3 linked regions of the Neurospora crassa OR74A genome follow. The main gene of each other region encodes a partner of the protein of the gene in region 3 in a complex. Links are inferred from orthologs where the notes say so. Each region holds a gene or a part of one and is shown on either strand. Other genes may lie near its edges.

Region 1 (10,117 bases), on a different chromosome or scaffold from region 3:
ACCGCCCGTCAACCTCGCCGAGCTGCTTCGGCACCCCGATGATCTCGACAAGATCACCACCCTGAAGGCCGAGTTCATGCGGAAAAAGGCAGCTGTTGACTCCCAACTACGCAGTGGCCTGCGGGAGCAGCTCGAGACGACACAAGCCGGCATGAACGGCCTGGCTGACGGGCAAAGGACGGTGCAGCAAATCAAGGAGGAGATGATGAAAATCGACAAGATTTGTTCCGAGTCGCAAGACATGATCACCGACTTTGCTACCATCAACCTGGTGTCCCAAGCCCACCGCAACTTTGGCGCCGTCGAGACTATGCGCCGCAACCTCGAGACTTTCAGCGAGCGCCTGGACGCTATCGACAGGATGTTAAACGAGGACGACGAGGACCCCGAAAACATGCCCAACCTACTGGCTATTCATTACGAGTTGACGCAGCTCCGTAATATCCGAGACGATGCCATCGAGCAAATACAGAGGGGTGACGATCCAGGCCTGCAGTCTACATTAGAGGATTACTTCTCCCGCCTGGATAAATACATTGAGTGGTTTGATGTGAATATCACCCTCGTCGCCATGAGTTTGATCAACCTGGTTATTGCCGACAACAACAGTCTGGTCGTACGTTTCGCACTGATAATAGAAGCTGAGGAAAAGAGCGATCAGAGGGTTTTGGCCTTGCAAGAAGCGCTGAAGGATCACAAGGAAATGGCCACACGCTTCCAGAGCATAACCGACGGCGCCAAGACGGTCAGGGGCTATAAGGACAAGTTTTTGAAGGCTATCAAGACCTTTGCCGAGGACCAGTTCAAAGAGAGCAAGGAGAAGTTCTTGGGTGATCCGGACATGCTCGACAAGTCCTTGAAATGGTACTTCAACGACTTGAACGCCGTCAAGATCGGCATGACGCCGCTTATGCCCAAGAAGTGGAAGATATTCAAGACATGGGCTACTATCTACCACGGCTTGATGCATGACTATCTCATCGGGCTCATTGACGACCCGGAGACCAGCTCGGCACATACTTTAGCCATTATCAGCTGGCCTGAGGCTTACTATCGCAAGATGACCAAGTTGGGAATGAAGCAGGACGAACTAACACCACATGTGATCGACAACCGCGAGGCAGAACTGGTGCGCGACTTCCGCGCCCTCATCATCAAGTTCCTCGACGAATGGATTGACCGTATCTACAAGCAAGAGTGCAAGGACTTTGTCGACCGCAACGTCGAGGGTGGCAACCTCGACCAGGACGAGTATGGATACTTCCGCACCAAGAACCTGGTCGATCTGTGGCGCATGCTCCGCGAACAGGTCGATGCCGCGGGCAACTCAAAGCGTGCCGATGTTGTGGAAGGTGTCATCGACACCATGTTCCAGCGCTTACGCACCCGCCAGCAGTCCTGGCAGAAGATGCTCGAGGACGAAGCCGCGCGGTACGAGGTGCAACCCCCACAAGGCCAACCAGAGCTGGACGGCTTCCAGCCACTGCAGGACTGGCTCGTGGCGACAGCCAACGACCAAATCGCCTGCATCGATGACAACGAGGACGAAGGCCGGATGGCGTACCTCTCCGACTTCCGGCGCAAATTCAGCACGCTCGTGTCGCCGCAGTACATGGACCGGGCCGAGACGGAGATCACGGCTCTGCGCGACGGCTACGTCGACCTGAGCACGTGGTGCATGACCAAATTTGCCCAACTGGTGTTCGCAGTTGACTTCCGCACCGTCATGCCCGACTTCTTCACCCCCCGCTGGTACACGACCAACGCCATGGCGCGCATGATCGCCACCTTCGAGGAGTACGTGTCCGACTACAAGATGGTGCTGCACCACTCGCTCGTCGACATCTTCATCGAGATCTTTGCCGAGGAGCTGCTCATTCGCTACCTGTCATCGGTACGCAACAAGGGCGCCAAGTTCCGCAGGCAAGATAACTTCCAAGACAAGATCTTTGACGACCTGTCGACTGCCTTTGACTTCTTCAACAACTTGCCGAACCCCGATGTGGGCGATGCCATCAAAGAGACGTGGCGCGTGTCGGAGCCGTTCTTACAGTTGTTGACGGTCGATAAAGAGGCGGTGCCGGACGCGTTTGCAGAGTTCAAGAGCCAGTATTGGGATTTGCAGATCAGCTGGGTCGAGGCAGTGTTAAGGTCCAGAGACGATTTTGAGAGAAGTATGTTGAATGCTGTCAAGGCTAGGGCCGCCCAAATGGACGTTGTCAGAGGGCCGGAAACTATCATGAGCAAGGTCAAATAAGGGGACACGCAATAGTTATCCTGGGTTGAAAATGGATAGGTTTAATGATGTGAGATACTTGGGATTGGACTGTAGTAGGTACGGAAGTCGGGAAGGGAGTTGGAAGTTCTATGCATATAATGATACCAGCTTTTGTAAGCTACAGCGAAGACATTTTCAAGAGTGAATAAGAGAACCGAAGGCCAGTCTAATGGTGGGTGGTTGTCCCTCACTTGAAATGCTGCCTTTAACTTCCATCATTCATGCAACCACACAAATATTCTTCGGAGTTCCACATAAATATTCTTCAGAGTCCAAACTCCGGCTCGTTAAGCGTGCCCTTCTGGTTCGCAAACATGCAAATGCCCATAGATATTACGCGACTGGTCCGCGTCTATGGTAAGCGAAGAAAACAGAAAAAGAAGAAAGCAATATACAAGAAACATTTGACGTCCAACCATCACCGACGCCATTATAAAAAGAGATTAAAAAAAAAAAGAAATAAGAACACAAGCAACAACAACTCTCTGTAAATATGTAAAATCTGTGCCTAAGCATCATTAGCTCATGGTAGTGTCCGTGACGTTCTGTGTCCCGTTGCCAGACCTCTTTGTCTGTCTCTGTGTCTGTCTCAATATTCTGTCGTGATGTGTTTGTACTGTATTACCATTTCCCTCTTCTTGATCCGTTGATGAGCAGCGAAGACAAAAAGTCCGCCATGAATAACTCGTCCTTGTCACTGAGCTCCCAGCGGGCCCTGAGTTGGTCGTAGACTTCGACGACTCTGTCGCCGTTTGTGCATCGCATGAATGCGCGCAGGACCCAAATGGCCAGCCAGGTCTTGATCTCTATGCCTGGCCGGTCGACACCCCATTCTTTCTTTTGTTGGTACTCCTCCTCTTCGAAGGGGAGTTCAGCTTCATCGTCGTAAATATCAGGAAGGTGTTCCTCCTGGATATGATCTTGCTGGACCTGAACTGGCTCATGAAATTGGGTTTCTTGAGCTTGATCATCAGTAAACGCTGCCTCGTCAACTGGTGGAGGGGCCGAGTCATGAATAAGTGTGCGTCCAGCATCTATGGCTTCTAGCAGGGCCGAATAGATTGATTCTAACCGCCTCGCGCTCCATGCTGAAGTTGCGTAACCTCCATGACGGTCAAAAGCTCTGAACAAAACCTTGAAGATGGAGCCGTGAACAGGGATATCAAACAGCTTCATATCGTCGATGTACTTGGCCACGCGGGAGAGATCTCCGCACCGAACGCCGTAATATTTGACCAGAATGCTATACGTCCGAAGGTTCGGATGCATTGGTACCATCTCTTGAAAGCTGTGTTGCAACTCGGGAGCTTTCTTTGCAACCCGGGCCATCATCTTCAGCGCCTGGGTGATGGCGCGATCGCTGGCATAGCTCCGGGTTGGGAATGACACCTCCGACCACTTCGCGATAGAAGCCACCATGCGAGCATAAATACGCTCGGCCGCTGCTTCCTCGCCCGATCGCAACAGTCCAGATATGACGGCGTTGAGGACAACCGTGTCAATCATCTCGCCGGCCTCAACCATCTCCCGAAACGCGGCGCGCAGTCCACCAGTCTCCCTCTTGAGCCCAAAGAAATGGATCAAGCTTACGTGGTGATAGCGGTTGAAATAGTGCCCACGACTGACCATTTCTTGGTAAATCATTTCAGCGAGAGTGAAGTTGCCAGCCTTCGAGGCCACATCAAACAAAATGTTGAAGGTTACCTCGGTCGCCTTGATGCCAGCGTCGACTTCCATCTCGCGCCACAGTCTCATGGCAGACTGCGCCTGAGTTTCGGTGACAGTGCCAACATATCGGCTTGCAAAAGAGATGGCGCAATTCCACTCCCCTGCCGTCAAGGGCATGCTGCAGTTCCTCACATCCGCTATGACGGCGAAGTACCGCAGCATGGACTTGGAGTTTCTCCGCTGAGGCTGCCCTAATGCTTTTAGGAGCTGATGTCGCAATCGACCATTGATGTAGGGCATGCGCGGTTCCGGCAGTTGCTGGTAGAGGTCGTAGATCGTGTCAAGGTCAACCTTGTGTGGAGTGCGCAGCCGCACGAGTACAGCAAACCTGAGATCGCTCAGTGTGTGTTGGCCAAATTCGTCCAGTCCAACCACTTCGTCCGGGCCTGGATACTCGTAGTCATCTTCATTTTGTACAAAGGTGAACCGGGGCCTATCAGCGGGCGCATAATTATGCATGTAAGGATCGCGAATGAACTTGAGGTAGTCTTCGACCGTTCCATCTAGATCATGATAGGGATCTACCAGTTCAAGCAGCTCTTCTTTGGTGAGATGACCGAGCTTCGCACTGTGGGATTCGGGCAGCTCTTGTGATTGTGGGTTTGCGCCCGAGTGGGACTCGGTCGATAGATCGTCATGTAGCGCGGATGGGGCCGAGAAGACAGAGTCGGCGGGCTTCTGATCGGCACTGGGTTCGGGGGCAGCTGCGGCAACGGGGTCAGGGACCGGGGCTGCCGCCGCCGCCGCCGCCGCCGTGTGGCTCCGCTTTTGGGGAGCAGAGACCGAATAGCGGAAGAAGTTGGAGTCGAGTGCTCGTCTGCTGTTCGTGCCGGACAGACTGGTGGGAGTTACCCGCAGGGATGGGGTGGTCAGTAGCGGGCAACCGGTGGAGCCGCCTATGGGTCTCCTCGCGACCCCATCGACAAGGCCACCACTTTGTGAGCTCCAGCTGCCGTGGAAGCACCGTCGTTGTTGTACTGGGCCGAGGCCTGCTGTCGCAACCTGTCTTCTTCGTCCGCTGCCTTGGTCACCGAGCTGGATGGATGCTGTGGTTTGCGACACGGAACTGGTGGCAGCAATTGCGGTTGCGGAGGCGGCAATGGCAGACCAATTCCACGACGGACGATGCAAGAAGATGGTGCCGCATATCGACCCTTCAAATCGGCTGGAGACTTTCATGAGCTGCCGCCGTCCAACATGATGGCCTGCCCATTCAGCCAACCTTTTCTTGCCTGTTCCCCGCGAGTGTCGGCCGCAATTCGATGAAGAAGAGCTCAGAGAAGACGCAATCACAAGCTGCTGGCTGCTGCGCACTCGATTGGCACTCGATGCAATCGCGGTTACTGGCGAATTGGATCGTACTCAGGTCGATGTGGTCAGGGCGTCAGATTCGTGGAGGGCGGGGAAGTATGGGGAGAATGGGGAGAACTCGAGTCATGAAGTGAGGAGGGATGTGGCAGGAAACTGGGGTCGGGTGAGCGACGCGATGATTGAGAAAAAGTTGGGGTAGTGTAGTGGTGTACACTACAATACATGGACGAGGCACAGCTCCAGGTACCTTGCCGTGAGCACACCCCACCCCTGCCTCTACGAAAGAGGGGAAGCTGGAATAGGGTCCAGTCTCGGCCGGGCTCAAGACCCCCACTTCTGTTATCGATAAGCACCTAGCTAGGTACTTCCCTTCCCTTTGGTCGCTTAATGGCGGGGCGGGGAACTATTTTTTTTTTGCCGGCACGTCCTTCCAATTGCTCGCCCGCTCGCGGCAGGCAGGACAGCAGGTCGCGCGGGTTACCGGCAACAACTGAAGGTCGTGTCGGATCGTGCCTGTCTCCAAAAGGCACAGCTCCACTTTGGACAAAGCTAAGCAAATAGCGATAACGATAGGTTTGGCGGGTGAGGGAATCCATTGTGCCTACGCAGCGCAGCGCAGTGTATTATTATTACCTTACACAGGTATACACACCCCGTAACCTCGTAGCCTTGCCTTTGCCTTGGGAGGGTACCTGAGGAACGAAAGGACCGCCGAATCCGCCAATGGTCCTCTGATCTCAGCCAACACCACCGCTGCCGTCGATTATCACCAGTAATTCCCTCCACAACACCCAAACGCCGCCAGCGACGACCGGACAAGATGGGCAAGGGGCGCATCTTCCAGGCCGCAAAGGTCTACCAGAGGGCCAGCGAGGCTGCTGCCACCAACATCGTCTCTGGCCTGCCACCACGGAACCCACCACTGTGGCTCAAGGCCATCGAGTCCATCCCTCCCGCTGAGATCAACACCAGACCGTATCCGATCCAGCACTCTCCGCCGAACCCGCGAGCGCGCAAGCCACGCAACCTCTTTAGGCCCACCAAGATCGTCTATCCCGAAGATGAGTTGCGCCGCGACTTCTACCGCGACCACCCTTGGGAGTTGGCCAGGCCTAGGATGATTATCGAGTTGGATGGCAAGGACGCCCGTTTCCTTGACTGGTCCAAGGGCCTCAGGCAACGCGGCATCCCCTTGTCCGGCGAGAGGTACGTTGTTGGATGAGCGCATTGCACATGGCGCAAAAGCCCGGCGGACAGGCATGGAAATTGGATGCTAACCCGAATCGCAAACGATAGTGTCGTTCAACGTCAGCTCTGGCTTATGGAGAATCAAGGCATGACCAAGCAGGAAGCCTACGACAAGGCGCGCCACGAGTTCTACAAGTTGAGGCAGTTGGAGCAGATGGAGCGCAGGATAGCCGTCGAGGAGGCCCGCATGGTTGGTGGCTACTTTGGCAAGGACCTTCTGACGGTCGGCATGGAGCTCGAGAACAAGACGTATGAGAGTTGGAAGAAGTGGGCTACGACCGAGATCGCCCGCCAGGAATCTGCCAGGGCTTCCATGTACACCAATGTCGTCGACAACTCTGCGCTCGAGGAATCTGAGGAGGACGAGCTGCTCGCGCAGAATTAAGGCAACGAATTGGAGTAAAAGGGGAGGGACAGAGTGGTATAGCGTGGCTGATACCCATCCGTGTCGGGGAAAGACGATGCCGGCCCACTCGTGCACAAGTGTAAGAATATCACGTCTCTTTGTACATATAGAGAGGGCAAGAGACTTTGTAGAAGTACATGTGATTCAGGAGCCTGGTCGCCTATCTTCGAAGAAACCCGGCAGACACCGGCCCGATATACTGACTGCCCTTGAATATTTTCGCCAGACTCTCGTGCTGCACACCGACAACATCGGCAATGCCCGTTTTTAGAAACAACTTCCCCGTCAGACTCATCGTCTTGGACCTGGCCCAGGTCTCGATGTACACCACCTTGGCCCTGTTTTCGGGTACGAGGTAGAATATCTTGAGCAAGTGGGCCACCAAACACACAATAAAGCCGTTGGCAGGCCCATTTGTAACAATCACATGCGGGTATCTGAATCCCTTTCCATGATCCTTTGTTGACCGTGGGTTGGGCATCCGTGTGAGGGCATTGGCGGCATGAAAGGCGGATATGAGGCAGGTAAAGGGTGCCGTATAGAGCGGTTGATGGACCTTGCGCGCACGGCGGATTAAGAAGATATCAGAGGTGCCTGCTCGATCATCTTCTCCGGGATAGGCGTCCTTGATAGTCGCTTCCAGAAGGCGGGCCTTGCCGAGAGAGGAAGTGTCTCCGATGGAGATGATGTACCGCCGGTGGATGTTTGCCTGGCCGCGAAATGACTGCTTGATGGTCTCAATCATCTCAGCAGTGTGTCCACCAGAGCCAAGTATATATGTGAAGTAAATAGCAGGAAGAGAGGTGGTGTTGGGAACTTGTGTGCCAGCGGCATTGGGTTGGGGCGTATTGCTGGGGACGAGCCAGCTGCCACCTGGCTTTTGACGCCGGCGTATCATTTCAAAGTGCCGGTAGACAATAAAGGTACCAAGCACTATCCCGACGGTGATGACGAGGGAGATGAGCCATAGCCATGATAGACCAGAGAGGAGAAGCCCGGCTGCGGTGGAGGATGCTGCACCCGCAACAAAGGTGGCTGCTGTCAAGTTGATGCCGCTCACAGTCTCAACATGTAACTGAGAGTAGCTCTCAGCTCTGGTGTCGGGCTTTAGCTCTTGATCATTGCGCGATTCTTCCTTGCCCGCCAGCACGGACGCTGAAGTAGTAGGGGCCATTCTAGAGAGCCCCAAAGGTCTCTTCAAAATTCTATTGGTATAATTAGTTTCACATTCTTTGAATATGGAGTCTGGGTACTTGATGGTGTCACCTCGTCGAATCTTGATAACGTGTTTTGTTTGGAGGTTTCCTGAAGTCACGCCTTCCAAAATAAAGGGGCTAATAAACAATGACAAAAGGGGCACATCCAATTGGGGTAAGAAGGAGAGGCTTGTTTGGTGCCGTCTGGAGGTGAACATGTAGACTCGCTCATATAAGCCCCATGCCGACTTGACACATGTGTCTCCAGGTGAATGGGTGTTTTAGATCTGGCAAGATTTAAAGCGTGATATATGACATCAAGATCAAAGGCTTTTAAGTCGTAGAGGCATGTGGAAAAAATGACACTGAGCAAAAGGCGATGGAGGTGTGGTTTCTGTAGAGGTAGCTACATGACGGGAATGAGCCAGTGCATGTCGCTTTACGGGGCACGACAATGAATGACGGGAAGCTTGGGCCAAATTGAAACCCCTGAAAGAGAGACCTGGAGAACACCCGACACGCACCCCTGGGCCCTGATGATCTGCCGAATAGCGGAAGGGAATGACGACGGTGGCCCCACTGGTGACTGCGATTTGGGCGCATTTGGCGGCCCAGGCCGCTAAAAAGTTGACCGACCGCCTGGCAGAAAGCGGGAAGTTGGGAACCGCATGGATGCTTGTTGTCAACGAAACCTCAAGAGAGAGAGCTCCTCCTCACTCAGTAACCCCAAAGTCCCATGTCGCTTCAGTTCCATCTTCACATTCCATCCGTCTTGAATGGATACCACCTTTCACCACTTAGACGACCTCCAATTGAGCAATCACCTATAAACAGAGGAACCATTCCACGACAAATTGAGTTCTCGGTCTCCAATACCTGCGATTAGCTTCAGCGGTTGGGGACATATTTGAAGGAGGCTTTCTGCCCCGTGTCGCAGAGAAAGGGAAGACATTGCGCGCCGCTTTCTGAAAACCGAACACATTCTGCAATGGGCATCGCGTGAACGCGCAACCACTCGAAGCAATGCCCAGACTGAACAGGACTCGATATCTAACATGCTTCTATTGTGGCCGCAAGACCTCGACCCCATGGAACAGCTCTATCCGCAACTTCGAATGCCGGAACTGCGACGCAACAAACTACCTTGATGGTGTAGGTCTCCCTGCTGTCTTGAATCTATCCAGTTGACCTGGCTGGCGCATATTGTACCTATTTACTGACACCTTCTCTTTGCTCCGCTAGAACGGCGACATCACCGATCCTCCTGTAGCCACCGAGTACGAAGCAAGTCCTGCCAAGTTTGCCACGACGCGAGCAACTTCGCCCACCGTCGGTTCCTCGAGCGCCAGCGTTTTTTGCAACAAATGTTTGGCCAACCAGGACAAGCTACGAGCTGTTCTGGCCCAGTATCTCCCGGATCCCGATGATTCTGAATACGAAGAGCGATGTAGGAACATCTACAAGTTCCGACGTTTGCAAGAGCGCCTCTATCCTCAAATGTGCGCCGAATGCGAACCGCGCGTCCAGAAGAAACTAGGCGAAGCAGCTTATACGGCAAAAACCGATGTCTTACTCCGAATGATTGAGAGAAGCAACAAGCAGCGACAGCAAGTTACAGGATGGAGTTGGCTGAACGTCTTCGACTCTTTGGGGAGGTGGTTACGGACTGCTAGCTTGGTGCTTCAACTCCTTTGGCACCTCTCCATAATGCTCATGTTGTTCAAGGCGGCCATCCTGACGCGGTTGGGTGAAACGCCGAACCCGTGGGCTCTGAGAGCTGTGGATACATGCTTTTGGTTTTTTAACCTTCTGCCGTCAACCGACCGGCTGAGTGGTTGGAATCTCACTACTGCGATTCTAAGCGTCTGGTGGAATCCACGGTATCCTCAGCTACACCGCGGCTTTACAAAACACATAACTGGGTTTCGAGCCTGGTACATGTATCAGGCC
Region 2 (10,292 bases), on a different chromosome or scaffold from region 3:
AAACCATCTACGAACCGAGCGACAAGAAGGGCGCCAAGTGGTTGAGCTGTTGGATTCAAGCTACGGGCCATGTTCAAGAAACCCCTTGCGCGTCATGCACAACTCGCCAAGGCGTCTTCCCGCAGTGTATCATCCTGGACGCCGAGGGCTTCCCCCGGTGCGGTAACTGCGAGTGGAATCGCCAGGGATGCAGTGGTGCTTCTAAGCATGCAGACCACGAGATGGCCGAAGCCAGCCCAAAGGCCGGGAACGGAGAGGTGGCTCAAGAAGCTCCCGTTGTTACCAGTGGCTTTAAAGCTGTGAATGGCACATCGGCGAGCCAGAAGACCGCGAAGGTGGTTAGCAACGGAGATGAGCAGCCAGCACGATCCAAACTGCCCTCGGGGCGCAAGTCCCTTCCGAGCACGCGCAAGTCCAGTGTGCAGCCCGAATCAATCGCCCCAACGCCCCTGGAAGGCAGTCCAGCGCCCAACGACAGCGATCACGCAGAAGATCTTCCTCCCATCAACCTGGCAAACCTCGCCCTCCGTGACGACGGGACTGTTTTTACAGACCCCCCTTGCATGCGCGGCGTTCCCCTCGTCAGGATCGGCCCCGACCATCCTTATTGGGATCCCGAATGGGTCGCGCTCGAGGAGCCGATCCAAGCCCAACTCGCCAAGTGGTCGGAAAAGTACGAAAAGTTGAAAAACGAGGGCGGCGCGGCGTCGACAAAATATCTGGCTGGTCGTCAACAAAACAGGGGCAAATTGGTTTTGGACTTTCTGGCAAAGGGAGAGTTCCACCCTTATCAGCTCATGGCAAAGCACCTCATCAACAAAGCCTACATAGGTTATGATAACTTGTACCGCATGGTGCAGGTGCTGGAGGAACTCAAGAGGTTCAAGCAGCTGGATGTTTCACCTTCACAATGGCTTAGACACCGATTACACGAAATCCACGAAGAGCTGGGCGATAAGTTCAACCTCGGAAAGGCGGTGGAGAACCTCTACTCGGACCCCAAACTTCGGCTACTTCGCAGCGAGAGCGGGTTTGGCAATATTGGTCGGCCGAGGGGCTACAAGCCTACGATGGCTGATAAGGGAGAGGATGGGCCAGCTCCCAAGAAGGCGGCCAAGGGGACGAAGAGGAAGGCGGCTGCTGCTCACTCGACAGATGACCCTGCCAACCAGTCAGAAGAGCAACTTCGTGTCGTAGACCACCACCAAGCCGCCGACACAAGAGCCCCATCTTCCCATTCCTCACCCTCTACTTCAGAAGAAATGGGTCATCCAACCCATGCGATTTCTAAGCCTCCCGCAGCCAAACACCACCAGCCCTCCCCCTCCGTGACCCTCAAAATCCAAGCTCCCCCCGAAGATCTCTACTACGAAGGCTACACCTCGGACGACTCCTACTCGGGCGACAAGATCACAGAAGTCGACTGGCGGCTATTACAAGTTCGTCACCGGGAAATGACCACCAACACCGGTATTACACAATACTGGCATTGGCTGGGCGCCGGCGAGGACTTGACGGGTCGCGGAGAGGAAAACTGCTTTGAGCACCAAGTCCTTAAAGATGTCAAGGGCCGTCGCGTGACGTGGGGCGTCTACAAGGAGCCGATTGATTTCCATCTGAGGTTGGACGAAATCGAGGAGGTGGTGTATGCGCCTGAGGGGAGTGGGTGTTTGAAGATTTTGATTAGTGTGAAGAAGGATGCTGCACATCATCATCATCATCGTCATCATGGGGATGAGGAGGAGGAGGAGGAGGCGCAGGAGGCGCAGGAGTCGAGGGGGGATGTGTTGGCTTGGTTTAAGCGGGAGAGAACCAAGAGGAGGTTTTTGAGCTTTTTGGTGAAGAAGGGGAAGCGGGTGGTGAGGAGTACTGCGTACGTATTTTCTGATTTCTGATTTCTGATTTATGATGCGATGAGTTACTGACGTTTGAGGTGTTGCTGTCTGTATAGGGCGTACGTGGAACAAGCTTGGGATGATATGGACTCGGTTGTTTTGCCGCATGAGGATGAATAGGGTTTTGAGATCCTTCGGGGAAAAAGAACTACCCATGGTTGCTTGCCCATGAGCGCGAGGAACACGGTGGGTGGTGGCGATTGGTGAGAAATTGTCAGTTGGGAAGTTGTGAAGCGCGTCAAAAAGGTTCCACGGAGGGATATGCTTTTCTTGTTTTTTCTCATTCTTCTGCTCCAGATGTTTTGCTTCACGGCACTCTTGGTTTGCGTGGCCTCGATCCATAGATCGGCCGATCGTGGTTTTACTGCATTTCCTGACTTTCCTGGTTTTCTTCTGCAGGCGGTTGTGCTGGTTGGTATGGAGTTTGGGAGTTTATGTTTTTCTTATTGTTCGTTTTTTTGTGTTTCCTTTTTTTTCTTCCTTGCATTCACTACCGGGTCTTTTGTGTCTAAACGCCGGGATAAAGTGGTAGGATACAAACGCAGCGTCAAGGGGGTTGGTGATGGTGGTGGTGGTGGTGGTGGTCAGTTTACTGCTTGCTTGTTCCGGGCGTTGCTGGTATGGTGGGTGGAAAGACTGGATTTGAAAAATTTTCGTTTTGAAGAGAGAGAGAGAGAGAGAGAGAGAGAGAGGGAAGACTGGAGTGATTCATTATTTAGGTAGCCGAGTGAAAGTAGTGGAAGGTAATTGATAGAGATGGTTTACATTAAATCTCACTTTAGTGAGCCCCGGTTCTGGATGTGTGTTGACTTGGTGATATGAACATGCCTCTGTTGCCGTGTGTTGCCGTGTGTTGGCGAGACTGATATCATAGTGTTTAACTGGGAACTCGAGAGGATCGATCAACTACATTTGATAAGGGGAGGTAGTGTAGCATACAAGTGTGGTAACTGAAACGAGGATGAAGTTTGAGCGAAGAGCCCTCACGTCAAGTTTTCAAAGATCACCCGTAACTTTAATATGATCGTGTCTGACGTTTCTTAATCCCAAGCCATCCTTGTTGAGCCGGGACCGATGAACTACCTTGCTTTAAGGAATCTGAATATGGCGTCGTATTCTTTAGCGGATCACATTCCACATGCGTTATCGTACATGAACAAAGACGGGTCCGGGAGTTTGTTCTCTAGCTGGCTTGACTGATATGATACTCTGACCGTTTCGAGTGCACCCTAATTCACGCCAGAACTTCTTGATCGACGACGGTGATCCATTAACGGGGTCGAAAAGGAGTCAGGTTCCTCCTTCCTTCAACCTGAGTGGGTATGGATGGTTCCGCAACCCATTCGCAATGAAGATTTCGGATACGTATGCTGCCTGTCTGTATGTATGTATCCCATGTTGCTATCCAGGTGTCGTGCGTTCACGATGTACCATTGCTCATCGAAGGCCCAGATCGTTATTGGTGGGTGTTTCGGTCGTTTTTATTGTTGCTGTCGACGGAGGTAAGAAGGTATAAAGATGCCTGCCATCCATCCGTCCATATATGTTGTCCGGTCTGCTTCATCACGGCCCTTTTGGTATACACAAGCCGGTAAGGAGATGGGATGGATATATGTCGATTCGATTCGACTCGATTCATTATTTCCCATCCATCTGTCCATCCATCGTACACATTCCCCCCCCACCCGCCCCCTCTTTTGCTCTCCGTCCAGAAGATACAGATTTACGCCTCCTCTAAACTCCTCCAAGGAATCGCCCCAAACCTCGACAGCGTCTCCAGCTTGCCATCGCCCAACTTCACGTTCGCCGTGCGGATCACGCGCGGGTCGGCCTTCATGGTGCGTCGGACTTCTTCGTGCGTCGCGATGCTGGCGTCGTACCGCATGACAAAGTAGTGGCCCCGGTTATGGCGCTGCTGGTTGGTGGAGATGGGACGGGGCAGCAGGAACGTGCCCCAGTTCTTGATGTCGCGGATGACGCCGCCTTGGTTGAGGATGAGTTTGCCGGCTGTTAGGACGAGTCTGTTTTTTTTTTATTGGTTCTTGTTTAGTACGACGAGGTGTGGAAGGTTGGTAGAGGATGGGATGGTTGGGTTGGGTTCGGAGTCGGAGTCGGGGTGATAGGTAGGTAGGGTCGTGGATGATGTGGTAGAAGAGAAGACAAGAGAAAGATCGGTCGGTTCGGGTCGGGTCGGGTTCGTAAGGGAAAGGAAAGACGGAGGGAGTTTTCTTCAAGTCGGACGGACTATCGAGTGGAAACAAAGAGAAGGGGAAAAAAACATACTCCTTCACCTCGGCGATGTTGCCCGGGCGGACCTGTTCACAAGTGCAATCATTAGCAAGACTGTCTCTTTCCATCTCTCTCCTCTCCCATTCCCTTTCCATTTCCTTTCCTTTTCTGTACCCCCAATCTCTTAACCTGCTCCTGTAGTTCAACCCTAGGGTAACTCACAATACCAATAGTCTCATACAACATCCTGTCTGGTAGTTTGGGCTGGGCGGCGGGCAATCGGTTCGGGGAAAGAAACGAACGCAAAAAGAAGTTTAGTTTCGCGATGCGATGCGATGCGATTGCGACCGGCCGAAAGCGCGTATAGTACTACCTAGTGAACCTTGGACGTCGATAAGAAGTTCGGAGCCCCACAGTAGGTACCGCTGTGGCTGCTGTTGTGACCGGGCTCAGCAAGTACTGTAGGGTGTGGTGGGTGTTGCCGTCAGCAGTGCCGCATTGCCGCAGTGCCGCAGCGGGTTGGTTGCGAGTGGGCGTCCGGGTGCCGCCGCTTGCTTGGAAATTTTTGTGGGGTCCAGGAAGAAGGTCGAGATTCTGCCGCGTTGACCGCCTTCCGGATAGGGGTGTACACACTTCATCAAGGGTGGGTGGGAGAGAGGTTGTTTACTCGACTCTTCAGCTGTCACCTCGGTGATTGTAGAGACATCTGTTGGGTGTAATGGTCCTCCAGAAAAGCTGTTTTAAAAGTTCCTAAAGGGTTATAATGTGGTCTAGAAGCAATGAGAAATCAGACTTGTTCTAAAAACATTCCCAACCGCTTCATACACCTTTGAATGGCCTTCATGTTGTAAATGCATGCTCTTATCGGTATTGTGTATCTGGAAATGCGCTGTGTAAATGTATTCTTTGCTCTTTGCGAACCAACCTCTGATCTTTCGATGCGCCGCTTGACCACCATGGCAGCAACCTCAACAAGATGATAACCGCCATGAGAGCCCCGAAAGCCCTCCCAGCATCAACTGGCAACAGCATGACCATCAGTGCTTCTCTTCTTTGCCCCTCTTATCCTCCCTGCGCCAAGGCGAAAGAGTCCTCACCAACATCCTCATATGCTCCCCCCCGTATAACCACATCCACCCACTTGACTTCATCCTTTACACTCCTTCCCCGGATGCTCATGACCAACTTTCTAATAATCCTCAACATCCATCCCCTCCCCTCCTGCTGCCCCCGGTGCAGGCGCCTTGGCAATCCCCTGCTCCCTGCACCAAAGCACAAAATCGTCAATCACGCCCGGCCACGCCTGGTCTTCGTTCCAGAACCCGAGCGTCTCATCCACCATCGTCTTCTCCGCAAACGCCAGCGTCTGGTTCCACATATCCTTGTTGACGCTCCTCGTCCACTTCTCCGCCAAAAACCGCTTCCACGCACCCAGCCAATCCACGTTCTTGCTCTTCCACGGCCTCGGTCCTAGTCCTGTATCTGAAGACTCGGTGCCCAAAAACAAATCCCAGAATACCAAGGCAACGTCCTTCTCCAGTGCCTTTTGGGCAGGTTCCTTACCCAGGCCAAAAGCGAACTGGTAGACTTTTTTGAAGTAGGCCGGATTTTGAGGCAGGTTTTGGATGCACATCCGGACGTAGTTTCTGTGGTGGGCCGGGTCTGCGGGAATGCGGTGGTCGAGGTAGATGGAGGACCACCCCTCGACGAAACCCTGGCGAGTGATTTGGCCGATGGAGTCGGCGCGGACGATCTCAAGGACCACAAAAGCTTCAACGTTTTCGATATTGGCGCCCATGGAGGAGATGTAGGCTTGGGCGGCTTCGGCGCCGATGGCCTCGACGGGTTTTCCGGCTCCTGCTGCTGCTCGGTCCTCGTCTGTATCGATGTTAGTTCGAGGGGAATGAGAGGCAGGGGCAAAGAGACATACCGCCGACCAGACGGTCGAACAACTGATTCAACGCATCATCTGGGCCACGCTTCCTTTCCCGATCATTCATATACCTGTGGTCGAAGTAAGGTTAGTCTTCCGTTTCCAACCTGATAAATTTTGAAAATAATAAGCAAGGCATCTTAAGCCATCACGGACTCTAATTCCGGCGCATTTTCCAAGGATGAAGTGGATATTCCCTTGGGATCTATGCGTGGACCCAACTCCCCATTGCCAGTCGGTAGGACAGTTTTTGTAGACGGAAGATCCTGCAACTGAAGAGACCCAGGCACGTTGTCCGCCGTTTGGGGATATCGGGAGTGAGATTGTGATCGCGAGTGGCTCCCCTCAGTCTCAGTCGCATCTTCGCTTGGAGTAGCCGACGACTTTGCGGGTTTGCGTCCATTCCTCTTTCGGAAACAAGAACCAAACAGTTTCGAAAACATGATTTTCGTGTCTGAAGAGCCAAGTGGTGGCATCTTGAGGTGCAAAAGTGGTGATAAATGCCTTTGATGGGAAAGGGGCGTCGCATTCATTCGTTTGGGAATGACATTAAGGTTGAGCTGGGGGCTCCACTGGAGAACCACGGTGTGCATGGAAATGCGTATTGGTTGCGTGGTTGCATTCTCGGCGCCTCCCTCATCTCCCTTCTGTTGATGTTTTCCAACAAATTCAGAAAATAAGAACCCGGGGGCTGGAAACCAATGCTGACGGTTGACAAAAACAAAAAACGATGACCCGAAAAAAAGACCACAACATGACCCTTTTAATAAGACATTGTGTCGGGACGTTGATCCCTTGTGGTATTCATTGGTCGTAAACAGCTTGTAGCTGTAGGGAGCTGTAGGGAGTTCCGACCCGAACGACCGTCGTGGCCGGCTTCGACCCGGCCCCAAAACAAAACCTCCCTCATATTCCAACTAATAATTTCGAAGGGATACACACACGGTATGCGGTGCGCCGTGCGACATTGCGAATGCACATGGGGTAAAGTCGGTAGTTGCAAGAGGAGACGAGGACGGAAGAAGGGACCTACATATTCGCAGCAAGTTCGACACTGTAGTTTGCATTTCGGAGGTACTGTAATCCAAGTCCAAATATTAGCTTCTTGCACTCTTGTTCGCAGTCGCACTCGCACGGTCGGACTGATGGACATATGGCGTCCCAGCGGGACGACACTCTCCGAGGTCTCTTTTAATCCCTTCTTGTGACATTGGACCTTGCAAGGGATCTTGGACTTTGGTTGAACTCACCCGTTGCGCATTCTCCTTGCTCGCATTGGTCACTGCGACAAACTGGGCAACCTTTTGCCTCTGGGTGGCCGTTGAGGGCAGCCTAGAGCTACTCATTCTGGCTGTCTCAACGTTCGTTGTGTGGTTGGGGGTGTCGTCGTTCGTTCCGTCTTTCGAACGCTGAGCGGAAAAGAGACGAGATGGTTGTCTGACAGAGACAAAATGTCGCCCTTGCGAAGGTAAAGAGAGAGCTTGGTGCTGGCGCTTGTTCGGGCACGCGTGAGTTGATCTCGATCGGTTTATGAGCCCAAAGTCGTCGCGGGGCAGGGCAGCAGAGGCTGATAAGGCGGGATCGGCTGTTGGTCTGGTGATGTGGCAGACGGATGGAGCTTGAGGCGCTCGCTGTTGGACGGGTCGCGTGTTTGTAATTGCGCGCAGATACGAGCCGAGGGGTGGGTTGAGCTCGAATTCGGTAGCAAAGCTGTGAAGGTGCCGTGGCCGTGGATTTCGGTTTGCAGGTTCGTTGCCTAGGTAGATTCGTCCCTTCTTGCGTCTTGTCAAAATAGGTAAAGATCGGGAAGGCGGAGGGGAGCGACGGGACTTTAGGGCGGGCACTCCACTACTAAACGGGCATCACAGCTTGGAAAGCGGGACGGAGGGGCCCGCGGCGGAGGTTCGTACCAGGGAAAACCCACTGCCACCACGGCCATTCAGCGCTATGAGTCCAGCTACCTAGGCGAGGCTGAAGAGAAAACGTCATGGCGGGGGAAGTCACTGCGACCATAGAGGTAGAGGTATACTACCACCAGGGCAGCTCGTGTGTCTGAGTGCCGCCGCGGCAGTGGTGTTCCCCAGGTCTTGGCACGAACCACTGGATTGAGACGGCCGACCAATGTCCCGGAATCGGCTTCAGCTTCTGCAAAGTACAGTACCTCTAGGCAGAGTGGAAGCTGCAGTGAATCACAGCCAACGAGTAGACTAACATGGGTCGTATAAGCCGCGTCATCATCTCTGGTATTGTCCATGCCTCTCTTCAACTCCCTACAGAAAGCCCCTACAGACAGACCATACACATACAGCTCAACTTGACACAAAGCAAATCATATGAAAACGCCATAAACATGAGTAACATAACAAAGTCACACATGAAGAACCCCAAACCAAACTTCATCCCATCATACCGTACCCCCCTCAATCTTTGCACATGCCTGGTAACTGGTATCCCCAAACCTGCCATCCCCGTCATGAAGCTGTAACCTTCTGTCCCTTGTCCATAATTCGTCATCAATCTCATCAATATCCGTCAAGCCCAGTGGACCACCCCACCAGCAGAAACAATCCTTCCTGTTTGACTGGCATCTCTGTTGTTGACGGTGCCACTTCTGTTGTTTTCGATTCCTGCAGGTCTGTTGAAGCTCCATTGCCGATAGCTTGACCTGTTGACTTTCATCGTATTGCCCCTTCCCATGTCGCTGCCTCTGCTTGGACCACGAACAGTGCCGTCACCACCACCCCGGATGGTCCGACCAAGCCCATGCCTCTCAGAGTTCACCTAATCCCCAAGCGGCATGCCTTCCAGATCATCTAGCAACCTTCGCCAGTTGTCCGCCAGCATCTCCGAGTACTTAACCCGCTCCTGCGCCCAATCCTGCGTCAGTCTCGACACGTTATACTGCGTGTTCTGGAAAAATCGAAGCTCGTCTCTTATGCATTCCTTGACAAATACTGAGCGGTTGTGTTGTGTGACAATGGATTCCTTGTCCTGCTTCCGGTGTTAGTAGAGTGGCATTGATCAACGTAAAAGAGAGACATACCTTAATGATCGCCTCTACAACCCTCTCTTTCTCCCCGGGCTTAACCATCCCTTCTGGCTTTGCATTAAGCGCTTGCAGCTTCGCTTCATTTGTCTCTATGCGTCGTTGCAGGAAGGGGATGTTGTCCTTGTCGAGACGATCTCTCCTGTCAAACATATCACGTAGACTGACTAGCGCATCTCGCTGCCTCTTCAAGTCCTCCAAAACACCCTCTTCCCACGCCTTTGCTTCATCCTCCATCAAAGTCTGTGCAGTACGCAAGTGTCGGCCCATGGCTTGCAGCCCGTCGTTGAGAAGTGGCACGTCATTGTGGTCGGTGGCGTAGGTATCGGCACTGGTCTCGGTGAGTGAGATCAGGGAGACAGCCATCCTGGCGTGGTCGGCTGCTACGCCTTCTGAGCGCTTGATCAGACGGTCCATGATGGTGCAGGTGCTGATATAGAGCTCAGCGCTGCGGCGGACGCCGACTCGGGTGCGCGCAAAGAGCTCCTCCAAAGTTGGGGGAAGCGAGTCCTCGAGACCGGGCGGTAGTGTGCGGCCGGTAAACTCGTCCTGAACAGAGATTGTTGCTTGCTTGCGCCAGACCGACAGTTCCTGAGAGCACATCATTAGCAGCTGCGGGGAAGCCACAAAGTGTGAGGTAGACATACCGTAGGCACTGTCAAGAACATAATCACCAGCTGCTCCTGACCCAGAACCGGGTGGCGCACAAGAGCGTTGAGGAACCTAGCCAGACCGCGGCGACGCTTCTCGATAAAGGCTCCATCGTTGGACAAATGGTTGCCATTGACTGTCTCTGTTAGCGTAGCCCATGTCCCTCGGAATGGTCTCTAACTTACAAGCAACCCGCTTGGGCGGCAACAGCGGCAGCACCCTAAACGGATACCGCTTGTGCAAGCAATCCAATAACCACACAAAGTCGCTGTATCGTCGGACGACCTTGCTGCCACGTCTTATGCTCGAGACCTCGTAGTTGTGGTGCTGGAACATGAACACACCCTCCTTCTCCGGCATCAGCGTCACCAGGATATTCTCCTCCACGTTGCTTCCGGACCTGACATGTCCAATGCTTCGGTTGGGATTGGAACCACCGACTGAACCACTGACAGACTGACCAGGTCCCCCACTATCACCAAACGGACCTGTGATAGCATTGTCTGCTGGCTCGCCGAACCCTCCTCCCGAGGAGCTG
Region 3 (11,196 bases):
TGAAGCTCATGCCGCTGTATACCCAGCCTTTCGCTTCCCGTCCGCAGCCTGCTTCTCGCACTGACATAAGCGCCAGAGCTTGCACGGTAGTGAGCCTTGGTTTTTCGTACTCGTCGTTCTGAACAATCAGTCTCTTGGCCTCGGCGAAGAAGTGATCACCCTTGGTCCTGCTGTCCCCAGGTACCGCAAAGGCACCGTCCACACTTGTGAAGTGACAGCCAAGCGCGAGCATGGCATTGACCAGCAGCGACGAACAGTAAACAGTGGAGCGTGGTTGGCCAGCCGGCTTTCCCTTGATGAAATCCCGATAAAACAAGCTTCTAGACAGCGTGGTGAAGTAAGGATAGTGCCAGTTGAAATACATGTTGACGAGATGGATGATTAGTTGAGGATTCTTGGTCACCTCTGTCCAGGTGGTGATTGGATTCTCATCGCAGGTCGACAGGCGGGTTTCAAGCTCCGGTTCTTCAGAGGCATCTGTCGGTTCACTGAGATATATGAGGTGCGAGGTACCGCCAATAAAACGAACAGAACCATTTTCGATCCGGAGCTCTCCCATCTTACGGGCCAAGTCCCTCTCACCCTCAACGGCCTGACTGGTAGCGTCATCTCTGCCAGGTTGGGTGGGTTCATCGCTGTCATCGTTGTCGTTGGTTGCTGTTGCGTTCTTCTCATCCCTGCGGATGGACTCGGCTACTTCGTCAAGGTCGTCACAGGTGCGAATCCTCCTCACAATGTCGATCACATCTTCCTCGGAAGCATTCAAAATGGCCTCTATTAGGATCTGCAGTGTGGCGTTCTGGGCTTTCATGCTATCGTTCTTCTCCCGGTAGACGCCTTTTCGGCGGTGATCTGAATTTGGGTCATAGATGCACTCGGTGCCGTAGACACTGGCACAGGCCGCGCAGCTCGGAAGGGCGCCGTCACACTTGGACTTCCTCCTCCGACAGGCGATGCAGGCCGTGCTCACACATCGTCGCTTTTGGTTGGTAGGGTCAGCGCCCCGCCTAGACTTCTTCTTGGAAGGTAACGAAGAGGCGATGTTGTCGGGGGCGAGTCCGGCTGAGCCTGGCGCATCTTGAGAGGACATCATTTGAACATCCGAACTGTTCATCTGCCGGGGAGTACCTTGGTGAGCTGCCAAGTACAAGCCGTGGTAATGGTTCTGGCAAGGACTGCAACTGTGACAGCAAGCAAGCCTCGACACGGAATTGTGACGCCTGATATCGTCTGGCCGATGGGTTCTGTACCAGGGTGCTGGGTTGCGGGGAATTGGCGGGGAGTCCCCGGGGCCTCAACTCTTAAGGGACCGGTGGGACTGAAGGCCGTGTGCGACTGAAGCAATGGAGGATCTCTTGAACGATTATCAAAGTCGCGGACGACGGGCGTTGTATCCCAACCAACAGTGATAACCTCGGCGAAGCTCCGTCGAGGTCGGCAACAGAACTCCACGGTCCTCACAGCGCGGGCGTGGGTCGAGACAGCCCAACAGAGGCAAGGGAGATCCGGGGTAGTCCGGGGTAGGGATTTCGGGAAGAGAAAAGTCACAACAGTGATGGCGATGGGGGCGGCCGGGTTGGTCAAGACGGTTCTTGAGTCAGAGTACACGGCCGGGTGAGAAGAGGACAAGAGGCCGAACAAGCGATTAGAGAACGCCGGCGCAAGCGGGACGTTCAACAAGCAGACGGACGACTCAGAAAAAAAGCAACAAAAAAAAAAGGCTATTGGATAAGCCCCTGAGATGTTGCGGATCTCCTGTTCTCTTGTTCACCGTTGGACGTGAGGTGAAGTGGTTGATGATCAATAAAATGGGAGCGAAGTTTGAACTAAACCCCCAAAGCCCCAACCAAGACTCGGGACGTCGGCTGGTACGTGCTGTTTCCTTGAGGTACCTTACCCAGTTGATGTGCTCGGGTACGCAGGCATATGTAACAGTTGTCGACTTACGCTTCGTAGCAGTACACGAAATAAGGAGACAAGGCTGCTGGGACTCTGTGAAACTGACCGTTTCCGGTCTGAGGGCCAAAATGACTTGGACCCCTATCGTGTCGAGTGACGATAATTGTCGATTCGTAGGTAGTGCGTGTGCAGCTTTGAACCTCGACCTAGTTGCAAGTTGTAAAGGCTCTGAATTGTTTCTACACACGCTATAATAGTGTTAGTAATCATGATCATTGCCCATGGCGAGGTTTTCTCGGCAATATCATTGGTCGAACGGAGGTTCCTTAAAGCATCAGAAGAGGATCTCGAGCACTGTGTCTGTTTCGTAGATACTGCATCGCATCTCATTCGTTGCGTCCAGCCCCCAAACTGCACTAGGTATACTAGAACTCCATCTTACACTACATCGTGTGCTCATCCCGTACTTGCAGCCAACACAACGCCCAGACATCGATACATAGTACCCTAAGACCCAAGTTGGTAAATGGCGACTTGCGGTCTGGAACGATATCATAGGCGTGCTCAGCGTGGAAGGCCCAGCATGAAAGAAAATGACTGTTCAGTAAACGAATGGCTGTTTCCCCAAAGCGCCTGAGACGGTCTCCTTGTCTACCCAAAGCATTGACTATGGCCGCGTCACCTTGGTATCTACACATAATCCAGTCGGCGTTTTTTTAGCTATCAGAGACCACAACTTCCAATCTTTGAGGGAACAACAGCATGAAGGTCTGACATGATAAAACATCTAGTAGTCCATTCACTCAACTTGTCTAGCAAAAGTGATACAATGCTTACTTCTAGAACCATCGCCTTTATACTGCGTATATATTCGCATGCAATAACCACAGCACGCTATCAAGGTCAATATCGGATGTTGTAGTACGAAATCCCTGCCCTTTTAAGTTTAAAACAAACACCACCCATATAACGCCGTCCGAATGTTTTACAGCCTCGAGAATTATTCATCAGGAACAAGTCATCAGTCCGTCCGGCCCAGAACTTGGAGCATACCAATGCCGGCCTTCTATTGCTGCTCGACAGCCTCAGCCTTAGTGTCGACCTTCTTCGCCGCTGGCTCAGCACTCTTGTCTCCGTCATCTTCACGGGCACGCTTGTTGTTGTTACTATACCACACGTTAGTAAATGTTCGAAACCCAGTTGTCGGATGGCTGTAACTTACTCGTTGTTGCGGTCACGGTTGTCGCGACCACCACGGCCGCCACGGCCACCGCGGCCACCCCTTCCACGACCACGGCCACCCTTGAAGCCGTTTCTCTGGTCGTTATCACGACGCGACTTCCAGTCACCCTTGTCACCACCGCTGCGGCCGCCACGTCCGCGGCCACGTTCGGCACCCTTGATGCTGCCCTCGAAGAAGATCTTTTTCTTGCTGGTGCCGGGCTCCATCTTGCCCTCCTTAATGAGCTGGGTCTTCTCGTCCAGGTAATCCTTCTTCTTCTTGATGACGAGCTCTTGATCCTGCCACTTGGGGGCGGGGTTCAGGGCAACAAAGGCGTTGGCTTCGTCTTCCGTCTTAAACTCAACGAAGACCGAGCCCTTGAATTTGTTCTCCTCGTTACGCCTCAGCTTGACCAGGTTGACCTGACCAAACTTGGTGAAGAAAGCCTCGATGTCGAACTGAGTGGATCCGGTCTCTTCGCCGAAACCCTTGACGTAAACGCTGGCAGCCAGACGGGCCTTTTGCGCATCAGAGGACGAAGTGTAGGCCTTCTTGCGCTTGACCGTCTCCTGGCCCTCCTCGCCAGACACATCCAAGAAGGCGCTCTCCTTCAACGCGGCGACGACGGCCGAGTAGGGCTGGAACATCTGCATGCGCTTGAAGCTGCAGATGGTCTTGAGCGAAACGGGCTTGTTCTCCACGCCTCCGGTCGTCTCCCACATGAACTTATCGGTAGGGAGGTTGCTGTCGCTGAAGTAGAACTCGACCTAAGACTATTTGTTAGACACGGGGACACGCAGCATGCCAACTGTTTTTGTAGTCTGATCGTACCTGGTTGCGGATCTTGACGGGATCGTCAGTGACGGGCTGGGTCGAAGGATCGTATTTCCTGTTGTTCTTGTAGTCGGCGCGGTCGATAGACTTGGTAGCCTCAGGCTTCTTCTCCTCCTCCTTGCTGGCATCCTCAGTCTTGGGAGCCTCCTCGGCGGCGGGGGCAGCCTCCGCGACGGGGGCCTCTACAGTCTCGGTTTGGACCTCGGTCTGAACATTCTCGACGGCAGGCGCAGCCTCAGTGTTGGCGGTGGTATCGCTCATGATGAAGGTCGGAGTGGCCTGTAGGTATTTGAAAGGGTAAAGTACAAGCGGCTGTAAAGGCAATTGACCGTCTAACGTGACGCGCGTGCACGGAAGAGAAGAATGGATGTAGATGGCCGGGAGAGAGATAATGGTGAACGGATGATGAAAATGCAGAAAGTGCACTGGAGACCGGGGACCAAGCAGGCAAAACGACGAAATTATTTAGTGGGTCCTTCAGGTGCACTCCAGTTTTGGGGCGGTAGGCGCAAAATGTTATTGCAGGGTGCAGTGGGGGAATGGTGTTGGGTTGGTGCAGGGTTGATTGTTGATCGACGCGACAGGAAAGTCGGCCATTCACCAGCAAATCCCAGGACGTGTGTGAAGTGTAGAGGTAGTCACGTAGTGTAAGTCAGGTAGGACCTCGATAATTCTGAACTGTAACACACACTTCAATTCCCTTGTCAAAGATCGAGAGTTTGATTCAGTCTTGTCCATCCATTACTGAGCTCCCTCCCTCCATCATCATACAGCAGCGTAACCCATCTGCCCTGACTTTTTCCAGGGTCTGTCGGCATTGGAGTCATATCGAGGACTGCACTTGTCAAAACCTCCCCCTCAGCGCAAAAAAATGGAAGCGGCGAAACCAAGCAAGCAACCAAATCAGCCCCACCCAGGTCCAAGGGAACCGCCTTTGGGTTTAGACTTTTTGTGCCGATTTCTACCGCCTGGCTCTGCTTCTAGCCCCACTCCACTTGCACCCGCAATCCGCCAAGAGGTTGCGGAGCTATACCGCATGCGCTCTAGCTCCCGCATCCTGTGCCTGCCAGTTCTCCACCATCCGGCCTGGAGTTGACGCGCACAGTGGCCCGAGCTTCTCACGTGAATGCGACCAATGGGCGAGCGCGTGCTCCAATTCGGGTCTGAAATAATTTTCGGAGGACGGCGCCCGATAAGAGGTGGAAGGGCCCCGGGAAGCTCCCCTCGTTGGCAGTGCTGCTAGGTGCCCCGGACCGCTCCGGACTCGACAATCTCCAAACAACCTGCGCCGAACCGGTCCGTCCACTTCGCCAAAAGCACGGGGCCTACAGTCCGATCCGATCCCCCGAAGCTCCTCCAAACACACCACACCCAACATGAAGATCCGGAGGTTGTTCAAGTACCACAGTTTGAAGAAAAAGGTATGTGCTATTCGGTGTTTTATGCCGCCGTCGCCGGGTTTGCCGTTGGTCATCGTCGCCGCCGCCGCATCATCACCCCATTCGCCCCATTACCTACTACCTGCCAGTCCCATTGCCACGACACTCAACACCCACCACACGCGATCATGCTGACGTATTTTGTGTGCGCTTCTTCTTCTTCCGAATAGCCCATCAGGCCGACATGGAACAAATATAACCTGTACAACCTGGCTACGGCCGGGAGAGAACCCAGAATCAGCGGCAAGACATTCTTCCAGCAGAAATGGCTCGCCAAGTCCTTGACACGAGCATACCACGGCGAGCACATCAAGGAACGCAAATGGGCGCGCATGTTTAGCCGTCGCCTACCGGCCGTCGTCAACATGGACCCGGCATACATGGCCAAATATAACGGCAGCGAACAAGCCGCCGGCCGCGGTTCCGGCCTCTCAGAGCCCCCAGCCTACGAGAAGACCGCCGACGAGAAACCTGCCAAGCAAGTCATCGCCAACCCGGGCAGGAAGGTTCCCACGCCGTACGAGCAAATGACCTTTGCGCCTCTCGAGAGACGCCTCGATATCGCCATATTCAGAGCCCTCTTTGCCAGCAGTGCGAGACAGGCCCGCCAGATGGTTGTGCACGGTGCCGTCACCGTCAACGGCAAGAAGGCATGTACACCATCACAACGTTCCAATACCGAATCCCACAATACAGTGCACCCATGCCAAAGCTGCTTGTTTCGGCGCTAACATTACCCGATCCTTTTGCAGATGAAACACCCCGGTTACCTCCTGAACCCTGGCGATCTCTTCCAAGTCGACGTCGAGCGCGTCCTCTATGCGACCGGTGCGCCCAAGGACAAGAAGCTCCTCGCCGCGGCTATGAAGGCCGCCAAGAAGGAGCTTGCGGAGGAAGCACAGGAAGCCGCCGAAGAGAAGGATGCGGAGGCCGAGGAGGCCGAGGAAGGAGAGGCACAAGAAGCAGCCTCCAAGTCCGGCAAGAAGGAGAAGCAAGTCGACACCTCCAAGTTCGACGAGGCCTGGAACCGCAAGTACGAACTCCTGCAGCTCCAACGTCTGCTGCAGTACGCCAAGCACATCGCCGACTCGCCGTCTCACCAGCTCTCCGCGACGCGCAAGCAAGCATTGCGCGCTTTGAAGCGCGACATCAAGGCCGCCATCAAGCAAGCGCAGCGGCGCGACGGGTCCGTTTCGCCAACCGGTAACGTGGTGGACGACCTGACGATGCTTCTCGAGCGCCTTGCGGTCTCCCCTTCCAAGGCCATTCAGCAGGAGGAGGCGGCCAAGGAGCTGAGCAAGAAGCTTGACAAGCAGTCGCGCCAGGTGCTCAAGAAGGTGATCGAGTACAACGACGAGCACGAGGACAACGAGATCGACCCGAGCAAGCCGTACATGACCCCCTGGAGGCCGCGCAACTACATGTCCGCTTTCGCGTTCATCCCCCGCTACCTTGAGGTCAACCAGAACATCTGCGCGGCCGTCTACCTCCGCCACCCCGTGGCGCGCCCGGGCGAGTCCGAAGTACCGTCGCCTTTCTCCCCCACTATCAACCAACTCGCGTTCAACTGGTACTTACGGAGAGGTTAAAGGAGGTCTAGTTAGGAGCGAGGGAATGAAAAGGGGAGATGGAGGGAGGAACGGCAGTCACTCTCTGCCGTCTCAGAGCGGTAGAATTCGCCAATGGACGATTAGAGTCGCGCGCACCCAGTTTTTTGCATGTCGCGGGTACGCTCTATTGTGCTTGTTGCATCTTCAAGGCAACCTCGGATGATGTGATACTCTGCACCTGCTGCGGCTTCAGTTGGACCATGCGTTGGAAATCGGGTTCGGTCTCGATGAGAAAGCTGCGAAGTGGGCGGCAAATCTCGCGATTCCCGGAGAAAAAGGAGACGGGGATGGATCATGCATGAGATGAGTTGACTTCATACGTATTTTGGGCACATTGCGCGTAACAGTTTGTTCGTTCCTCAATACCCGAACAATCTGTTGCAGACTCATTCAGTTCGCCCCCTTCGGCATCGATGTACGCTACATGTATCATTACCACTATTAACTAAATGGATATAAAGAGGGGCATAGACAAATTTCCTTCTTCTTTGCGTAAGAAAGTCATGAGACAGATGAGAACCACCGAGACACCTACGGTCTCCTCTCTGAAAGCTCAGTGCTTATATAGTAAAATTGCCAATCATAGCATTGTCGATCGAGAGGAGCAGTGCAAAGGTAAACACTTATCACTGAGGAAGACGGCAAAATTCGCCTTGAGAGCGCGAGAGAGAAAAAGGCTAAGAAATAACTATCTAGGAGAGGCTAAGTGTACGTTGAGTGTGTGTATGTTTTATGTGGTAAGCAAGAACCCTCCGTGGCTGGAGAGCGAAGCACCAGTTGAGAGAATCGGCCGGAAATGTTGGGTTGGGTATGACCGACCGTAAACCGTGAAAAGAAAAACCTCCTACAAGAATTCCCCGTGAAATAAAAACATCTGATCGCCGATGAAAGCAGTTAATAAAATACATGTGTTGTTGGGATATCTGGTCGTTCGTTGCTTTTCGTCCAAGTGAGATTTCCCGCCTGTTCCCTTACGCCCCCTTTGCAACTTGCATATGGTGCAACGTCGCGAGCACAATTCAAACCCGACTCCTTCTGATCCCTCTATGAGCTTCTCGGTTGTGAATTGCTCCTCGCTCCCGCCAGCCACAGCATCCTAACCGACTTGTCAGTCATGGTGGCAGCCGGAAACATGATGTTGCCGACAGTCGGTCAAGAAGACAAGGGCAAGCAGAGCCGCGAAAGGGAGTTGAGGGCCTGATTGCTGCTGCGCCGCAAACATCTGATGGGGAACAGCCAACGAATTATCTCTCTTTCTTCTCCCTCATATTTTCGGAACTCAACTCCCTAAAGCAGATAAGAGGATATATCTGTTGGAACCATGCTGCCATTGTGAAGTAAGAGATTCTCGAAAAAGCTCCTCCGGCCCAATTACATCTGCATTAGCTTTTCAAGAACAAAGTCGACCGGACCGCACCCCGTCCCAACGACGGAACACACCGGCTTTTGGAAATTTGACCGTTTACGGCAGCCAACAAATTTCTAACAGAAACCCATCCGGTTATGAAGGGATCTGCAAAGAGACTGTTGGCTTGCGAGGGGATCCTCCCGCAGGATTAGGAGGTTATGATTAGAAGATGAACAAATGGAAAACAGAGAATGAAGGAATGAAGCGGCAGGCCGAGGTGTATGCGGGATAACATGACAGTACAACAGTCGTGAGAGGCGGGTGAAGTTGTTGCCGCAAAATTATCGGAGAGAAAATCCCTTCCTCTTTGTCGGCTCCTTCTCAATTGGCCGCCCACTTTCGATTCGGGACTTCTTCTCCTCGAGCTCCAGTCGTTGGCGCTCCAGCTGCTCCTTCATCTCCCTATGACGAGCATACAGCTCCTCTTCGCTCTGCTTCAGCTTGGATTCCTTTTCAGCAACCTTTTGCTGGAAGACCATCTTCATTTCGGCTTCCATCTTCGCAAGCTTCTGTTCGTGGAGGGCGCGCTCTTCCTCCTGCTTGACGGCTGGGTTCACCTCCTTGAAGACGCTTGGATCTTGAGAGACGCCCATAGCGATCAACTTGTCCGTGCGGTAGTTCTCGTAAAGGACGTTGTTGGTGTGCTCCTTGAGCTCCTCCATGTGAGTACGGATGAGCATCTGGCGGAGCTTCACAAAGTCGCAATGCTCCTCATTGTCCACCTCGATCACACCCCAAGGGTAACGGCGACCGCGAACCTTACGGCCATCGGCGTTTGTGATCTCGTTGGTCGCACCGACAACAGCGAAGGGGACCTTGGACATGATCTCGTTGTTCTCCGCGATGGTCTCCTCATCGTCGAGTTCGTAGCGAGGGCCCTCAAAGATTTGCACCTTGTGGTACTTGATATCCGCAAGAATCTATGATAAACTGTTAGTATTGATCGCAGAACCAGTAGGGCCCGAAGACATACTCTAGCCTTGAAAGCAGCAATCTCGTCATCGGTGAGAGTATCCGACTTGGCGATGACGGGAATCAAGTTGACCTTGGTGTGGAGACGCTTCATGACCTCGATATCAAGAGGCTTGAGCGAGTGACCGGTGGGCTGGATGAAGAACACACAGGCATGGATCCTGTTGTCCACAATGTTCATGCGGTTCACCTTGTTTTCGGCATCCAAGTAAGCATCGAAGCGCTGTTCGATGTTGTCCACAATAGGACGCCAAGACTCGTCGTTGTTGACAAAGTCGCCGAAGCCAGGAGTGTCAACGACGGTCAAACGGAGGCGAACACCAGCCTCTTCAATATCGGCGCTGATAGACTGAATGGTGACAGTCTTGGGAACAATGTCGAGGCTAGGTCCCTTGCGCTCCTTGGGAGGGTAAAGCGAAGTGTTAAAGAGAGTGTTAACGAGGGTCGACTTTCCGAGTCCCGATTCACCTGCATGTCTAGAATTAGTAAATCTCCTTCAATGGACACAGAAAGCGTCACATACCAACAACCATGACATTGAAGTTGAAGCCCTTGCGGACGCTCTTGCGGTGCCATTGGTTGGGAAGGTTGGCGAAACCAACGTATCCCGTCAGCTTCCTTCGGACAATGTTTCGGTTGTCGCTCAAGGTAGAAGGGAGAGCTGCGGCCACGGTGTCAGAACCAGAAGCATCTTGATGTTGTTTCGTCTGAGATGGCAATGGCTGGGAAGTCGATGACTGAGGTACGGGAGCCGCCCTAACAGGAGGAGAGGTGGGAATACCGTTCGAAGCTGTCATAGAGCCAACGTTAGCATGATATCCATCATCTTGTGCCCAAAAGTATGTAATGTATGTCCAGTCAAGTGCGCGGAGCTCTCAACTACTAGAGGATAAAGGCCGCTTCGGTAATGGCTCCTGGGACACAGTCGGATCCGTAGCCTTGGGATATAGCTCGTCGTATGAGAATTGTTGGGTCATTGGCAACGTCGGGGCCGGGTCCTCGATTTCCAGCAAGCTCTTGTATCGGCGTAGAGCCTTCTTGATCATCTCGTTGTTCTCCCCAAGGGGCAAACTGCTGGTCCGTGTTCCGGAGACGGAAACGGGGGACACGGGACCATCCCGCGAGGCGCTTCCATCGATGGTTTCAGCGAGACTGGCGAAGCTCTTCTCAAACTGAACACTTTTGGCGCGGCCCCGGGTGGCATTGTGCATCATGGTAGCGAAATGCATTGCAGCGGAGTCGTTTGAACAAAGTATTTGGGTGGTAAGATGGTTCTCTTCCAAAAAAAAGACGGTTCCCAAGAAACGGTAGATGGCAAGCGGACAACGAATGTGATGATCGTATCAGAAGAACGAGCTGTGATGTTGGTGGGGGGAAGGGAGATGAAAAGTCGGCGAAGGGCGGCGTTGAGTCGGGTTTTGTTGAGCCCTTGGACCGTAGAGTAAGGTACGAGGAGGTCGGTGATCCGGCGATGCTTCCTGCGGCTTGGTCGAATGGGCAGGTTAAGTAGAGGACAGAAAGCAAGCGCTTACCCATTATAGCAGAAGGTACCGTGATGGTGATGTTTCGGTCGAGTCGAGAAGTGAACGGTTGATGAAAAAGGTAAAAAAATTCGGGATCGTAAGGAAGGCGCGAAGTCTGGAAGGTAAACGAATAGCGTCAGTCATTGAGATGGAAGCTGAATTGCACCCGGCATGTGTCTTCCTCCTTCTCCGTGCAGACGGCTACCGCCCACTCGTCAAGTGCCCTGCAGTGCGAGTCCGGTACTACCAGCACCGACACCACCTAAAACCCCAACGTGGATTGCGGTGG

Evidence for each region. The genes of interacting proteins can lie anywhere in the genome.
Region 1: NCU08296 (region 3) and NCU03343 share a complex: the UniProt entries of both Saccharomyces cerevisiae proteins name them as parts of the mitochondrial small ribosomal subunit. The link is inferred for Neurospora crassa OR74A from reciprocal best matches to the Saccharomyces cerevisiae genes NAM9 and RSM25.
Region 2: NCU08296 (region 3) and NCU05717 share a complex: the UniProt entries of both Saccharomyces cerevisiae proteins name them as parts of the mitochondrial small ribosomal subunit. The link is inferred for Neurospora crassa OR74A from reciprocal best matches to the Saccharomyces cerevisiae genes NAM9 and MRP17.

The regions. Positions count from the first base shown.
Region 1 is NC_026502.1:1,032,097-1,042,213, reverse strand, and holds NCU03343 (mitochondrial 37S ribosomal protein RSM25), read left to right. Parts: upstream 1-5,797; 5' UTR 5,798-6,137; coding exon 6,138-6,523; intron 6,524-6,613; coding exon 6,614-6,950; 3' UTR 6,951-7,131; downstream 7,132-10,117. Other genes in the region: NCU03341 (exocyst complex component Sec6), read left to right, coding at 1-2,257; NCU03342 (hypothetical protein), read right to left, coding at 2,900-5,185; NCU03344 (hypothetical protein), read right to left, coding at 7,132-8,145; NCU03345 (hypothetical protein), read left to right, coding at 9,191-9,319, 9,410-10,117. UniProt on the Saccharomyces cerevisiae protein: Component of the mitochondrial ribosome (mitoribosome), a dedicated translation machinery responsible for the synthesis of mitochondrial genome-encoded proteins, including at least some of the essential transmembrane subunits of the mitochondrial respiratory chain.
Region 2 is NC_026503.1:610,049-620,340, reverse strand, and holds NCU05717 (mitochondrial 37S ribosomal protein YmS16), read right to left. Parts: upstream 4,633-10,292; 5' UTR 4,371-4,632; coding exon 4,347-4,370; intron 4,211-4,346; coding exon 4,179-4,210; intron 3,917-4,178; coding exon 3,619-3,916; 3' UTR 2,920-3,618; downstream 1-2,919. Other genes in the region: NCU05718 (hypothetical protein), read left to right, coding at 1-1,873, 1,952-2,015; NCU05716 (hypothetical protein), read right to left, coding at 5,314-6,002, 6,055-6,128, 7,091-7,134, 7,308-7,403; NCU05715 (sorting nexin mvp-1), read right to left, coding at 8,839-9,048, 9,101-9,694, 9,751-9,890, 9,940-10,292. UniProt on the Saccharomyces cerevisiae protein: Component of the mitochondrial ribosome (mitoribosome), a dedicated translation machinery responsible for the synthesis of mitochondrial genome-encoded proteins, including at least some of the essential transmembrane subunits of the mitochondrial respiratory chain.
Region 3 is NC_026504.1:2,498,608-2,509,803, reverse strand, and holds NCU08296 (mito ribosomal protein S4), read left to right. Parts: upstream 1-5,142; 5' UTR 5,143-5,331; coding exon 5,332-5,376; intron 5,377-5,564; coding exon 5,565-6,044; intron 6,045-6,146; coding exon 6,147-6,983; 3' UTR 6,984-7,527; downstream 7,528-11,196. Other genes in the region: nitrogen assimilation transcription factor nit-4, read right to left, coding at 1-1,114; NCU08295 (RNA-binding La domain-containing protein), read right to left, coding at 2,966-3,065, 3,122-3,888, 3,953-4,216; NCU08297 (cell division control protein 3), read right to left, coding at 8,694-9,332, 9,386-9,852, 9,908-10,174, 10,917-10,920. UniProt on the Saccharomyces cerevisiae protein: Component of the mitochondrial ribosome (mitoribosome), a dedicated translation machinery responsible for the synthesis of mitochondrial genome-encoded proteins, including at least some of the essential transmembrane subunits of the mitochondrial respiratory chain.